2 linked regions of the Caenorhabditis elegans genome follow. The protein of the gene in region 1 interacts with the protein of each later gene in a pairwise test. Each region holds a gene or a part of one and is shown on either strand. Other genes may lie near its edges.

Region 1 (9,886 bases):
ATAATTCAATTTTCTAGAGTCCGTATCTACATACAGAGCCGAAAACCGCCTCGTTATGATGATATCGCTAAGGATCAGCCGCCTCCATACTCTTCTTGAATTAAAAAATCTCTCTCTCAACAAAAACTTTTTTAACCTCCCTGTGCTTCAATTCACTTTGTATGCTTGTTACGAGTTATTTTCTTACGAATTCCCATCGAAATTTTTCTTATAAAAATCTACTGAATTGATTGTTTAAAAATATGTAATAAATGAACGTTTCATTAGTCGAGATTTGGAATAACAATAAATTAGATTTTATTTTTCTGCGTAGATTTTTCTTCATTCTTGGATGACACGCTCTTCGCCGGTCCGACCATTGGTCACCGTGATTTTTGGAAGAGGTCCAAGGTCTCGTGGAGGTTCAGGAGTCTGAAAATTGAGAATTAGAAAATGTGAAACTCCAAAAAAAATGAGTCCAGAATTTAATAAAAATTTTGTGTCAAAAAAACTTTTAGGTATTAAATAACTACAATGTACATTTAAATCATAGACTAAGCGAGTATCCAAACTTTAAAAGTTGATGTCAGATGCAGAAGTGTGGCGGTTTTATGAAGGCACCTGTCTATCTAATGCCTAATTCGATAGTCAGTCGCTAAACCGAAATATGTCGGGTGCTTGAATTTGCTTGAATTGACAGCACTGAAGGTAAGCTTAATCTAGTATATTGCACAAATACCAAGCTCTTGATTTTACGCCACATATCAGAGAAGTAGGCAGCATTTTTGTGGATCTCCATGGAAAACAGAATTGTCAAAAAAACTAAAAAGTAAAAAGTAACCGGACACCTAAAATAACGGAGGCACCATTCAACAACAAAAAAAAACAAAAATCTCTCACCTTGCGTCTATTGTACTTGAAGTGGCATTCTTTGAGGCAGGCAATAAGTAAAATAAGTAGAATAGCCGTCAGAATGCACACCGGAACTAGCTGTTCCCATGTCGTCGGACCACCGTCGTATTCGTCAATAATCGGTTCGCTGGTCATTTTTCTCAGAGGAGCATATTTCTTGAACTGGAGAGCAGCAGCTTCGCAAGAGCAAGGGGCTGCTCTGGTTGTTGTTGTTGCTCCAAGAGCCAGTGCAAATAAAAGGCGGTAGAGAGAGACAGTGTCCGGACGGTGCGAAATCGTGAGCCTGCAGTCTATTGTATCCGAAAACGGACAGAGAGAGAGGCAGAGAGAGCCACCATTTACGGATCTCGTTGCATTGTTTTTGCATTCTGATTTTTTTCGTAAATTGTGGAGGATCAAGCAAAGGTGTTTAGTCGTTTATAAATAGAATTGAAATCCGAAACGTAAAGAAATTTTCGAACCTTGATTTTGGATGTTTTCAAGCCTTTTGAAATGATTTGGTAACATTGGAGCTCGAATATTTTGAAGTTTTTAGAATTTTGGAATCTAGAACTAGAATTAAGGAAACTTCAGACATCTAAGAATCAAAATTTTTAATTCATCACGGTATTTGGCGCCAACTTTTTCTCAAGTTCAGTCCAAAACTTGACATGGTTACACTATTGAGCTTTTGAACCTCGTTGGATCCGATCTACGGCTAGTTGGCGCGGATCACCGTTTTCTCTGATCTTTTGTCTCTGATATTTTGAAATTCTGTTCAATTTAAATTACAAAGTATTTTATTCTATAGCCAATTGGATGGGAGAAAAGTGACATCAAAAATGAAACTGTAGTAGAGTTTGTGGAAATCCGTACAAAGTGAGGAAAGAATGGAATAATACATTGTTATGAAATGTTTACAAATTCGTTGACTGGTCCATATTTTGTTTCTTGAGATACTCGAGATTCACATAGTCCGGGTCTTCTCCCATGATAGCGTTCTTGATTGTTCCCGAGAAGAGCATACTGTCTGATGTTCCATACTCATCCTGGTTGCGAAGGAACTGGAAAATATGGTGTTTGTAGAGTTAGACAGGTATAGCAGCTGACATTACACAGGTTCAGCCACTTGTTACGTCTTACCTCTTCATCTAAAAATGGATTGGTCTGAACCATCGGCTGCGCGGCTGCATCGGGAACCGAATGACCTCGTTGACGGAGTTCCGCATCAAGATGATACCTGAAAATGAAAACACCTGACGGTTAAGTGCACTTGTCAATATTTGCTAAAGCTTTTGCCCATGACGTTTTTCCTCTCACCTGTATTGTTGATATTTCTGTTGAGTTTGGAAGACGTACTGCTTCTCCTCCATTCCCAAAATTCGCAAGAAGTTTTCCAATTCGGGAATTTCAAAAGCGTCCCACTAAAATACGAAATTGCAATCAAGAAAAGAAAAGATGCATACCAGAATGTCACCAGTGTCGTTTTCCTGCAACACCAAAGCTCGGCCACAATGTGGGCTCTGCCAATTGAGCACAACTTTTAGAGGACACGCGTCGTCAGATATTCTCGTTAGCTTTCCTGAAAACAACAATTGGGTTAATCTGAATACACAGTTTTTAGAACGAAAATTTTCTTTTTAAAAGTTTGACAATTTATTACATTTTTCTTTCAACATTTGGCAATTAACCAAAAGTCTAATTTGGAAAACTACCTAAGTTTTGGTAAATTGGGAAATTAATCAAATTTTGTCAATTTTTTAAAAATTTACCGAACATTTGGCAATTTACCAAAATTTTGCCAAATTTTCAATGTGTTTTCAAAAACTTCTCCTACAATTCTGACACTTTCCAGAACCTTTACTTACTGTTCAATGTACATGTAGCCTCATCAGTAATCTGTTCGCACTCATAAAGTGCAAACTTCCTCGGGTTATCGGCAACTCGGAACTTCTTCAGCAGTGTTACAATCATTTTTCTCGCAGTTGTCTTGCTATCGATATTTATCACTTTTGCAGTGTTTCTCGGTAAGAAAAATGAAGTAATTGTTCTTAAAGATGTGGTTTTTGCCGTCGACTTTGCAGTATTCACAACATCATAAACAGTTGGTGGAATGACTCCTTGAACAACACTAATCGGTCGGCTCAAATTCATATTGACATGAATGTGACCTCCAAAGTTGACACCGTCCTCATGTAATGTGATTTCCATTCCCTTTGCCAAAGAGTTATAGGAATGGATTTTCCGTTCGAGATCCATTTCCTTGTACTCATCAGTCCACTCAAATGGTGTATCTTCCTTTACATATCTTTCCACAACTCTTAACGTGGCATATCTGGACTCTGGTGGAGCACTTGGTTCTTTCGTCCTGAGACTATCAACTGGTGAAAAGGATTTGGGTAATGTAAAGGAATTTTTCACGGAAAAAATTGGATTCTCTGCTGAAATCCCTGCTGAATTTCCATTGCCGTTTTCCTTATCAGATCCAGTGCTAGAGCTCATTGCTGGTGGAAGAATAAGACCTTTTGGAATGGTTCCGAGAGTACCGTCAAGTTGTGGATAAATTGAGTCAAATTCAGTTGAAGAAGCGAGAGAGCTTCCAGGAGATCTACAGTCAAGGGTCACTAAGTCACGACATCTTGCATGGCAGGTGTAGTTACAATCTGAAAATGTTTAATTTACAGGTGGGGCTGCATTCGGGAATAAACCAAGACTTTGAATATTATCTATTATTTCAAAACTTACCAAAAAATCAGTATTACCAACTTAGTCGCTGCCGTCAAAATGTGAGTTTTTTTTTTTTACTTTTGTGTACCAAAATTTTCCAAATAAAAATTAGGGAAATTTTCAATTTGAGCGAATATTTCCAAAAATGTTCCTTATTTTCCCCAATCCCAACTATGTATAGAAAAACCCTTACGTTCACACTTGAGCGCTTCCTTCAGAATACCCCAAATGAAATCTCCGCACTTGTCGCACCATGTTGGATGTAGTAGGGAATGTGTTTTGAAACTGTGATTATTTATCTTATTTGCTCCTCCTCCAGTTGTTATCAGGTCTTTCAGAGGGCCAAAGTGTTGCCGTTCTATTGTATCATTCCAAACGTGGTTCGAATCCAAATCGGCGAGAAATGTGGCGCCGAAATCCCAGATCTGGAAAAAAAAGGAAAAAATATACAATAGACGGTCGACTTCAAATATGTGTAAAATGTCAACACATTCTGCTAGTCTGTTTTAGTATTTTTCAAGCAATTTTCATCAGTTCAACTTCTACAAAAGTTCAAGTTTCAATATTTGCATTATCAATTATGAGGGCCTAATTTTAAAGGCTTGCCTTAATTGACTAATCTATGTACATTCTCTGACACTTTTTCAGACAATTATAACAGTCTTCTTTTATTTTCAAATATTTGAATTTGAACTCTGAACTGCGCTTTAAAAAACGTACATCAACCTGCTCTCCATCATCCTCCTGCCCTGCTCCACCAAAATGATCAAGCTGTACTGGCCTAAAGACGAGTGTACTCTCATCGTACTCGCCAATTGATTGCTCACTTTGTGGGCTACTTGTCGATGATGTCTCCTGCAACACTCAATCATCTCATCACCTTTTCCCACTGGATCCTGTCACACATAGACTAAAAAATAGGTAAAATACCCACCATTTTCTCGTCGTCCGATTTTATTCCCAACTGTGACATCCAATCGGGAAACAGACTCAATTGTGAGAGTTTTGTTCGAAGACCTCCGAACCAGCTGGAAAGAAAAAAAATTTGGTTGTGAAAGTGTGGATGATGCTCTTTGGTGACAGGAAATAGTGCGAGAAGTGGTGGAGTGTGGGTAGAGAAAGAAATTGAAAAGAGCAGATGGTCGTTTGGGTGGCGCAGAATGTCAAGGGTCGAGGATGCAAATGGTGAAGAGCTAGTGAACGGTTTTATGAGGAAATTATCGGTGGTTTATAAAGGATGAATTGGGTAATAATTGGGTTCTATAAAACTCTTAAATTAAATAACCAGAAGGAACAAAAAAGTTTGCCTGCCTTCAAAGTTACCTACCCCTACTAAGTGTATACATGCTTTCCTACTGCACAATATATGAAATGTCAAACACATTATTTAATTCAGAAGTGTATTACTGTAAAAAACAAGCCAAAAACTGAGGTCAAAGTACCTAGATAGTAAGTAGGTAGGTAAGTAGGTAGGTAGGTATAGAGTTGCGTCTACATTCCATGGTGATTTTCGCGGAACGTCGTACTTAGCTAATCCTATCACGCAGCTCTTGGCATGCGCCTGGCACCCAAGTAGGTAGGTAGGCACGAACGCCTAAAGGTGTCCCTTCCATTTGCCTTAATTTTAGCGTATAGTATTGACAAACGCTGAATAATACTCTAGAACATTAATTATGAAGTGCAACATTAAAAATGTGAAAGTTTATCCGCTGTATAATATATTGCGAAAATTCCAAATCAATAAACATATATCAAATTGATAAACATTTAGTAGGTTTTTCGTGAAAATGAAGATTTCATCATGAAAAGATAGGAAAATTGAAAAGGCAGTCAAGCAGAGAGAGATAATTGAATGTTTCCGTTTTATCAAAACATATGTTTTCTCATTTTCATCAATTTCCGCAAACGTCTTGCAAGAGAGATTTGAATCCAGAAAAAAAGTGTGCTTGGCACTGCATATACGTCAATATAGCCGAAGATTATCAGCTCAGATGCAAATCTTTTTGGATATTATATAAACTCCCAGAAAATATAAAATTTGTGGCTAGGCCACTGTACTTTGGTGACTTATATCTCAATTCAATTTAAAGATATTAAAAAAATTAAAACTACAAAGTTATAGAGAAACAACCAATAAGTATTTTGTTAGTTGACAGTTTTTTGATAAAACCAAAGATAGTGGAGGTATGAGCTGTCAAAGTTGGGAGTAACACATGGTGCATCGACGCATCGTTAGCATCTACTTCAGTTCGGCCTAACTATGGGAATAAATCTAAATAGACTAAGTTGTGTACCCATTAAAACATGACAAACGAGATCCATTGAGCACCTGAAGTCCAGTTGGAAAAAAGTGAAAACGAAAGAAACGACCTTATGATCGAGTAGAACCGAGGATCGATAAGTTGGATGGGACGCGGGGGATACGCAGACATTATAAGACATTAGAAATTCAATCAGATTTCACATACCTAATGTTAGATGAAGATGTCGACGGTTGGAAGGCGTATGATTGGTAGGTTGGGTCGTCAGTCGCCACACGGACACTTTGTTCACTCTCTGAAAACTTCTTCTTCTTTTTTCTTTGCTTTCACTGATATCTATAGGCTTTTTGCTATCTTTTGCCCCACACAGAAAGAGTGTTCTCTTTTCTCTCTTGTCACTTCACTTTCAACTGATTGTCAATAAAAAATGAGGAGAGTGAAATGTTGTAAACGAAACGTGCTCGTTGTGCAGAAACTCATCGCGTGCAATTTTTGATATAGATCTGAGCTACTGTTTTTTTGTTGATAAACTTTAAAGTTGGAAATTGGTGGAGTTCCAGTTTATGATTCGTTTTTTGAACAGATAATGTCAGGACCGCAGTTGAGAATTGGAAGGAGTATCGTAAGTCGAAAAATTGTTAAAACCGGTTATAGTGTCCATAGTGTCTAACATAAGTAAGTTATAGTAGTTATAGTTATAGTTATAGTTGTAGTTATAGTTGTAGTTGTAGTAGTTGTAGTTATAGTCATGGTGTCGACAGACGTCTAAGATGCCCAAAATAATTTAGCAAAACTTTTCAACAAATTTTTCAAATATTGTTATTTACAGTCAAAAAATGATCATAATTTTGGAAGTTGAACAAAAAATTTCTTTTTTTCTACGAGTTTTGTATTTTACCATGTATAAATTGTTATCATATAATCATTCTAATGGGTTCAAATTTGCAGACATTCTCGACATTACCCAAATAGTCCTCACTTTTAAAATATTTGCCAATTTGTTTTGGAAAATTGGCAGTTTACCAAATCCCTGCTAGAAATATTGGCAATTTGCCAAAATATCGGCAAAAATTTGGCAATTTACAAAAACGTTTTGGAAAATTAGGCAACTCACTAAAACTTTCTTTTTCAATCTAACTTTTATATATATATGTTTTCTCAACCATTTAATATGGTCAGTGGCCTAGAAAAGTCAAAATGCCTGACAGTTTTGACACAACCTTTAAAATTTTTCCTGTTGTTTAATAAAAACAAAAATTAAAAATTTGAAAACTCACCTTTAGCTTTATCATTATTATTTACAACGGACCGAAGCATGTGCACATACAGTTTTGATCTGAAATCATCATACATTCCATATTCAAAAGTACAAATTTAAAGTCAAAGTCAGCAGCATAAGTACATACACACGGTTTCTTCCGAGAATTGAGCTATTTAAAAGGGATATGGCATGAAAAATTCATAAGAGTTTTGGTTTTTGCTGCAAGACTCGTCCATTGAAAAGAGGAAGGGAGGATCACAAGTGAATGAAATATGAGAAGAAAAGGGAGGAAAATATGAGATACGGAAGAGAAAAGGAACAAATGACGGTGTGGATAATTGTGAGAAGATGAATACGAGTAACCGTAATTGTGGCAGAAGATGGTAAAAGTCGAACTGGCGTCGTCTGAGCGGCAGCAAAATAATTAACCACTACGCCACCGGTGGTTTTTAAGATTTTTTTATTTGATTAGCAGTAAATATAGAAGTGTTTTTTAAGTTTTGTGAAAAACCTTACAATTTGCCAATTTCAAAGTTTTCCCAATTTTGGGCATAGAAAACTGGTATTCAAAAGAGACATCTACTAAAGTGAGGTCAGGCGGACAAACAGAGGACACGAAGAGTGTGTGAATTGGCGAGACGCAGAGATTCGACCACTCCCAGACAGTGTGCAATCCGGGAGAAGCGCAGGAGTGGAGCAATTGTGTGGTGCGCAGCAGGCGGGATGGGGAAGCTGCCTTGTTTGTTGATGTTGTTGCAATCCATTTCTCATCTTTTGCGCGTTCTTTTTTCTCGGGAATTATTCATTTTGTCAATAGACTTGTACTGGAGAGAGATGTATATGTAGATGGGTTTCATGTAGTAGAAATTGAAGTAGTAAGGTATTTAACAACGAAGTGAGATCATCAGAGAGGGTGAAAAGGGGCATATTTGAAAGAATAAATTCAACAAAACGAGCTAGACACACATCAAATAGTAAAAGAGCACTGGGAACCCAAATAACTTGAAACTAATATCACACAGGATCAAACAACAAAAATGTGAATAGGGCATGATGAGGAGAGAGATGAAACATAGAAAACAACATATATAATAAGGTCGAATCAATTGCGGGTGAAAAGAACGTAGAACAGTCCGATCTGCATGATGAGTACGATAAAAACCAGCGCGAAGAGGATGCCGATGACGCGACACTGCCACGCGCCGCTGACCGTTGAGTGTCCGTCTTGTTGCGAGACCGATGTGAACACTGAACCGGGTCGAGTGCTGTAAATAAATAAAATTGATGGGAATCTTGAAGGTTAATAGAAGGAAAAACGTAGAAAAACCAAACAGAATTTAGTCAATCTTTTCAATAAATGCTGGTTCTTGCAAAATATTATTGGCTCCAAAATACCGTAACCACGGTCTCGAAACGAAAATCTAATCTTCAAATTTTAAATCTAAATTGAATAATAACGGAATTTTCAATTCTTTTTAAATTAATTTTAGTTTTCATCTGAGCTTACGTGACCTGTGACTTGAAAGGTCTAACCAAAATTCCACATATTATTTATCAAAGTCCAACGTCCAATCAGTTCTAAGTTTTTAAAAGTCTAATATACAATTATCCTGCACAAATGCTATCACACTATTGCTTCTCTAATTATCATTCTAAACAAAAAATAACTGATTGTTCAAGATTAAAGGGTTAAGTTTTAATAAATATTTCAGTTTCAACAAATCTTACTGTGCTTCCGGTGCCATGTAGTGGCTCCTGTCGTATTGTGAAGCTACCATAGATCGTGGTGGCCCGAACAATGATCTAGTCGGTGTGTGATTCTGTTGCTGAGCCATTTGCCGGTGTTGTCTTGAGAATATACTTGGAGAATCGACAGATCTCGTATCAAGATTCAAATTTGCCACGGAGGGTGTAAGCTGTTGAGCAGTCATTCTTTCATTGATATTTCTGGATAAAAGTCCTGGCTTGAAATGACTGGAACGAGTTGATTGAGCAACCGATTGAGCCGCCATCGATTCACTATCATCCCAATCCATTGATTCCACGTGATTGTTAGGTTTAGTCTGATAACTTTGCATATTTTCCTTGTTCTCCCGACTTCTCATTGCAGACCACACTGGACCATTTGTTATTTCACGGAGCAATGGTGGAGAGGAATTCATTGCTGGAGGGCTTGCTGATGGCGTATGTGGAGATCTTCGAAGAATCGTGTGGTCATGATCGAGAAGTGAAGCGTTTCGACTGTTTTGTGAAGAGCATTGAGAGATCGGAGTTGACGCAACAGAGAAGGCACTGAAAATTGAAAAAGTTGAAGGAATTTTTAAAAATAAAATATTTATTTAACCTTGAAACAATCTTATTCGGTCGTTTCTTATGCAGCTTTTTCCTTGGAAGAAGTGTCACTGCCATTGAAAGGATCGTTGAAAACGAAGCACATGCACCTCTGACAAGAGCGACATCTTGTGATAAATTCTGAAAAAAAGAGGTGTAAAACTTGCAAAGGGTATATTTTGAAACTCACATCACTTGAAGTCAAAACTGTTAGCATTGCGAGGATCAGAAGGATGGGCAGCAGCAGGTCGGGAAGAGTAACTCGGCATCTGAAATTAAAATTACAGTTTTTTTGTATTGTAGAATGAAACTTACTTATTATTAAATGCAGCAATCAAATGTGTAGTGAAGATCAGAAAATTGATGACGAAGGAATATTTATAAACTTCTGGCAGAATATCTTGAAGAGCCTTTGGCAAATTGATCAGCGATGCTC
Region 2 (4,436 bases), 2.0 Mb from region 1:
CTGACGAACACGGAAAGCTCATGTGCTGGGACATGAATTGCAAGAGAGTTGAGACTCCTGAATGGAAAACTTCGGATTGCTGTCAGAAATGCAATCAACCGTTCTTCTGGAATCTTCAAGCAATGTGGCAGAGGAAAGTGGTCGGATTGAGACAACATCACTGCAGAACCTGTGGATCAGCAGTCTGTGGATCTTGCTGTGACAACTGGACCACCTATCCACCAATGGGATATGAGACGAAAATTCGCATTTGTAATGACTGCAATGCACGAATGAAAGATAATCCACAGAATTTCAAGTAAGTTGTAAAGCAAATGACTGATGAAACTTATTTTCAATTTTAGCCTTACTCCACTTGCAATTCCACATGAAATCCATACTGGAATCACTGCTATGCATCTCCAGGAAACTCTCGGACTTCTAGTTACCAGTGGACAGAATCGTGTGATTATGATTTGGGATGTTCGAAGTGTTTGCTCTGCCCCTTCTGGATCACAATAAACAATTGCTTCTACTTCTCGAATTTCTCATAATTCTTTGTATTTCATCTAATTTATTTCCTCTCCTTTCTATTTTGTATATTCACTCTCAAAATGCCCATCCTTCCCCAAGACCAATTGTTGTCAAATCAAGACCTTCTAAAACTTACCAATATTTCCCGATACCCCTGACAGGTTGTCCTGAATAGTGATTGTGATTCTTACTTTTCTTCTAATCCCGATAATTTCCTAGTTTTTCGACTGTAAAATTGTATTTTTACAACAAAGTTTGAAAAAAAATCTTTTTTTTTGAAGTTTTTGGACAGAACGACTAGAAATTATTTCAAAAGAATGCATGCCGGGAGAGTAGGTGAGGTTGGTGACACTGGATGAAGGAGAAAGCTCACAGGAAGTACACAAAATAGCTGAGTTTTTGATGTTTATAAGAACGCTACGCGAAATTATGACTACGGGGAAAATTAAAAAATTGAGGAGAAATTATCAACATCCGCAAGCTCCTGCGCTGCTGTTTTGAGGGAAACTTCTTTCGGATAGGCACACGGATTGTGACCTCATAATACCAGTTTTAAGGCCTTCCCAGCCATCCACGGGCCGCAGTTCTCCGTCGTCGACTCGATTTTGAATCTAAAAATTTGAAAATTACATCATAAAATTGAAACATTTTCAAAAAAACCTCTTGTGCAATCATATGAAAAGCTTCATTAACATTGTCTCCTGTTCTCGACGACGTCTCGATAAACTTCATTTTATGGTACTTGGCAAAGTACTCGCCTTCCTCATAGTTTACCTGAAAGCTTTTAACCAATTTTTTAAACACAACTTTTGTTCAAAAATTACCTGTCGCTGTGAATCCATATCACTTTTTGTTCCGACTAATTGGAAGACACACTTCGATGGGCTTGGACCACCCAAATTTAATGCTGCTTCTTTAACCCAATTTTCAACATGCTCAAAACTTTCTCGATTCGTTGTGTCGTAGATTGCAAGGACTCCAACAGAATTCCGATAGTAGGATTTTGTAATTGATCTAAAAATATTTTTTTTAATCAGCTAATATTCTTTTTAAAAAAATCCACATACCTGAATTTTTCCTGTCCTGCTGTATCCCATAGTTGCAATTTAACACGATATCCAGGCCTCAACTCAATCATCCTTGCATAAAAGTCTACTCCGACAGTTGGGTCGCTGATTTCGGCCATTTTTCCTTCTGTGAAGTACCGTAAAAGACTAGATTTGCCAACTGTTGAATCCCCAATAACGATAAGACGATATTGGTAGTGAAAGAGCGGTCCATAGTCGTCACCAATGAAGTTTGTTTCCATTTTGTCTAAAAAATGATATATTGTTGAGCGTTTCCAATAGAGAATGATGCAATTATTATAAGAAAATAAATTTAAAGTTATCCGAGCAACAATTATCAATAAATATTACTTTTTTAAATGAAAACCTTTTTAATTTCAGCAGAAATCTTAGAAATCAGATGATCAATAAATAAAAACGGCTGACTTTTTAAAGGCGCATAGAATTTTCTTGGTGGCGGGTCCCGCACCGAAGAGCCGTTTTCTAAATAATATACACTAATGATTATTTTTATTAAATTTTTTCACGGTTTTCGAGAGTATTCTTTATATAAATTCAATTTTAAAGCATTCTCGTCGAGTTTGAATCCGAAATTATCGATTTTCGTTTTTCTCTGCTTTCTCTACCGCTGTTTTCTCTCCTCCGCTGTCTTCGCAAGATTATAGAGCTCTTTTGAATCAATTTGTTTCATGTTTCCGCTTTTGACGTTATTTTAAACATATACTGATATAAATAAATTAAGAATAGAGTAGAAAATCTAGTTCAAGTAAAGATGCAACATTTCTTTCTGCAAAATTTCTCGAAAACACCTGTTTTCCAAAACTTTTCAATTACACAATTAGAATTTCGGAAAAGTTAACATATATAAGAACATATTATATATATATATATATATATATATATATAGATTAACTCTCACAGTTAAAGAAATCTGAATAGTAATATTGCGAAATAGTTTTGCATAAGTTTGTTTGATTAAATTAAATGTGAAGCACTAACGCTATTGAATCCAGGAAAAACTCGAATTATTTGTTTGATTTTTATTAAACACACTTTGTGAACAATTTTCGGTTAAGAGGCTTTGTTGTAGTAAAAATCCTAAATCTACGATTATCTTCTTAAAATTTGACATACTTCTTACGTATGTTACAGGATAAATCGAGTTTTGATGTATTTCGTAAATAGTTTTTAATCATGTTATCTTTTTATTTCCCATCTCTATGTTTTAATGTTGTCTTTACACTAATTCACCCGTAATGTCCGTGCACAAAAGAATTTAACATTCAGATATTATGGAAACAAAATCATCCCAAACTTCACATCCGTGGCTTGTTCTACTCATTTTCGCCACTTTTGCGGTCTCAATTTTTGCTGTATACAGCAATTTTCCTGAAGTCTCGGCAGATGAGAAGGTTCATTTGAAATATCCCAGGAATCTGGAAGACGCTAAGCAGCTGGGCAGAGTTCTCTCGAAGTACAAGGAGAACAACTATTCAGTAGTTCTGTGCGGTGTAATTGTCGTCTACGTATTTCTACAGTCCTTCGCTATCCCTGGATCTATTTTTCTAACAATTCTATCAGGATACCTGTTTCCATTCTATGTGGCAATTGTGTTGGTGTGCTCCTGCTCTGCAACTGGAGCCGCCATCTGCTACACCATTTCTAAACTTTTTGGACGATCATTTGTTTTGCAAAAGTTTCCCGAAAGAATCGCAAAATGGCAGGATGATCTGAGCAAGCATCGTGATGACTTTCTGAACTATATGATTTTCCTTCGAGTAACTCCAATTGTTCCAAATTGGCTAATCAACATTGCCAGTCCTGTTCTAGATGTTCCACTGGCTCCATTCTTCTGGGGAACATTTCTAGGCGTTGCTCCACCAAGTTTCCTGTATATTCAAGCTGGCTCAACACTGGAACAATTGAGCCATACCAGTGTAGCATGGAGTTGGAGTTCTATCGTTTTACTTACGGGTTCGGCGATTTTGTCGCTGGCTCCTATTTTGCTCAAGAAGAAGCTCAAATCGGATTAATTTTCTCTCTTATTTCCTCTTTCGATCTCATTTTTTTTCCATTGCTTTCTGTGCAAAACTTGTGATATTTAGAGAATATAGCCGATAACTCATTTCTATACTATTTTTATTTATTTTTCGCCTCCTTTTTTGTCATAATAATCATATTTTCTTCACTAATAAACAATTTTTAGGTGATGAAACAATGATGCGGATCGCCACAAGACGCCGATTCATATCGAACAATTTGCACAAGTTTTCCCGGATATCCGCCTCCACTTCTGCAACTTTAGCCGCATATTCAAATGGAAATCAACATCAGAACAGGCAATTCGGCACAAATGCACTTTTCAGCAAAAAAGGAGGATTGTGAGTCTCTCTCCTTTTCTCTCTATTCCTCTCTCTCTCTCTGTCCGCTCTTTGATGAGTAATAAGACACCAAAAACCACGAAGATAGCGCAAAGGGGGAATGTGTTTTGTAATACTGCTGTCTCTTCTCTTTTTTTTGCATCTTTGGTTGATGACGTTTATCAATATGAAAACACCACATTTTGAAGCGAACAAAAAAACGACATTTTGTCTTTTACCACTCATTTTGAACTTTTGAAAAATTGTTTAAGATTTTTTAACGAAAAATTTTCGGATATTTCACATTTTTGGCAATATTGTTTCCTAAATATTACCTATCCTGAAGATGAGGTTATATAATCTTCCAAGATCTTCCAAGAATATTTCTATTCGTTGATGTTCAAATTTCATTTTTGACGGGAAAAAACCGAAGAAGAAAACAAAATTCCGAACTTTGAACCTCTGGAACAGAAATAAAAAAATGGGAAATTTTTTG

The links.
Region 2: the proteins of rsf-1 (region 1) and rab-39 interact in a two-hybrid assay, tested with the Caenorhabditis elegans proteins (one study listed by BioGRID).

Annotation. Positions count from the first base shown.
Region 1 is NC_003280.10:11,303,707-11,313,592, reverse strand, and holds rsf-1 (Ras association domain-containing protein 1 homolog), read right to left. Parts: upstream 7,195-9,886; 5' UTR 7,176-7,194; coding exon 7,136-7,175; intron 6,154-7,135; coding exon 6,066-6,153; intron 5,251-6,065; exon of another isoform or gene 5,101-5,250; intron 4,626-5,100; coding exon 4,532-4,625; intron 4,453-4,531; coding exon 4,318-4,452; intron 4,023-4,317; coding exon 3,791-4,022; intron 3,534-3,790; coding exon 2,739-3,533; intron 2,453-2,738; coding exon 2,337-2,452; intron 2,295-2,336; coding exon 2,191-2,294; intron 2,111-2,190; coding exon 2,014-2,110; intron 1,935-2,013; coding exon 1,788-1,934; 3' UTR 1,653-1,787; downstream 1-1,652. Other genes in the region: T24F1.4 (EGF-like domain-containing protein), read left to right, coding at 18-99; T24F1.7 (Small integral membrane protein 36), read right to left, coding at 322-411, 880-1,026; samp-1 (Transmembrane protein 201 homolog), read right to left, coding at 8,222-8,384, 8,848-9,411, 9,464-9,591, 9,641-9,719, 9,766-9,886. UniProt on the Caenorhabditis elegans protein: Involved in embryonic morphogenesis. Plays a role in the organization of apical filamentous actin in epithelial cells of the developing embryo. May play a role in let-60-mediated vulval development. May induce nuclear condensation.
Region 2 is NC_003280.10:9,321,088-9,325,523, forward strand, and holds rab-39 (Ras-related protein rab-39), read right to left. Parts: upstream 1,834-4,436; 5' UTR 1,823-1,833; coding exon 1,581-1,822; intron 1,528-1,580; coding exon 1,338-1,527; intron 1,288-1,337; coding exon 1,174-1,287; intron 1,125-1,173; coding exon 981-1,124; 3' UTR 771-980; downstream 1-770. Other genes in the region: wdfy-2 (WD repeat and FYVE domain-containing protein 2), read left to right, coding at 1-298, 345-501; egli-1 (Transmembrane protein 41 homolog), read left to right, coding at 2,873-3,613; eat-3 (Dynamin-like GTPase OPA1, mitochondrial), read left to right, coding at 3,801-3,961. UniProt on the Caenorhabditis elegans protein: Small GTPases Rab involved in autophagy. The small GTPases Rab are key regulators of intracellular membrane trafficking, from the formation of transport vesicles to their fusion with membranes.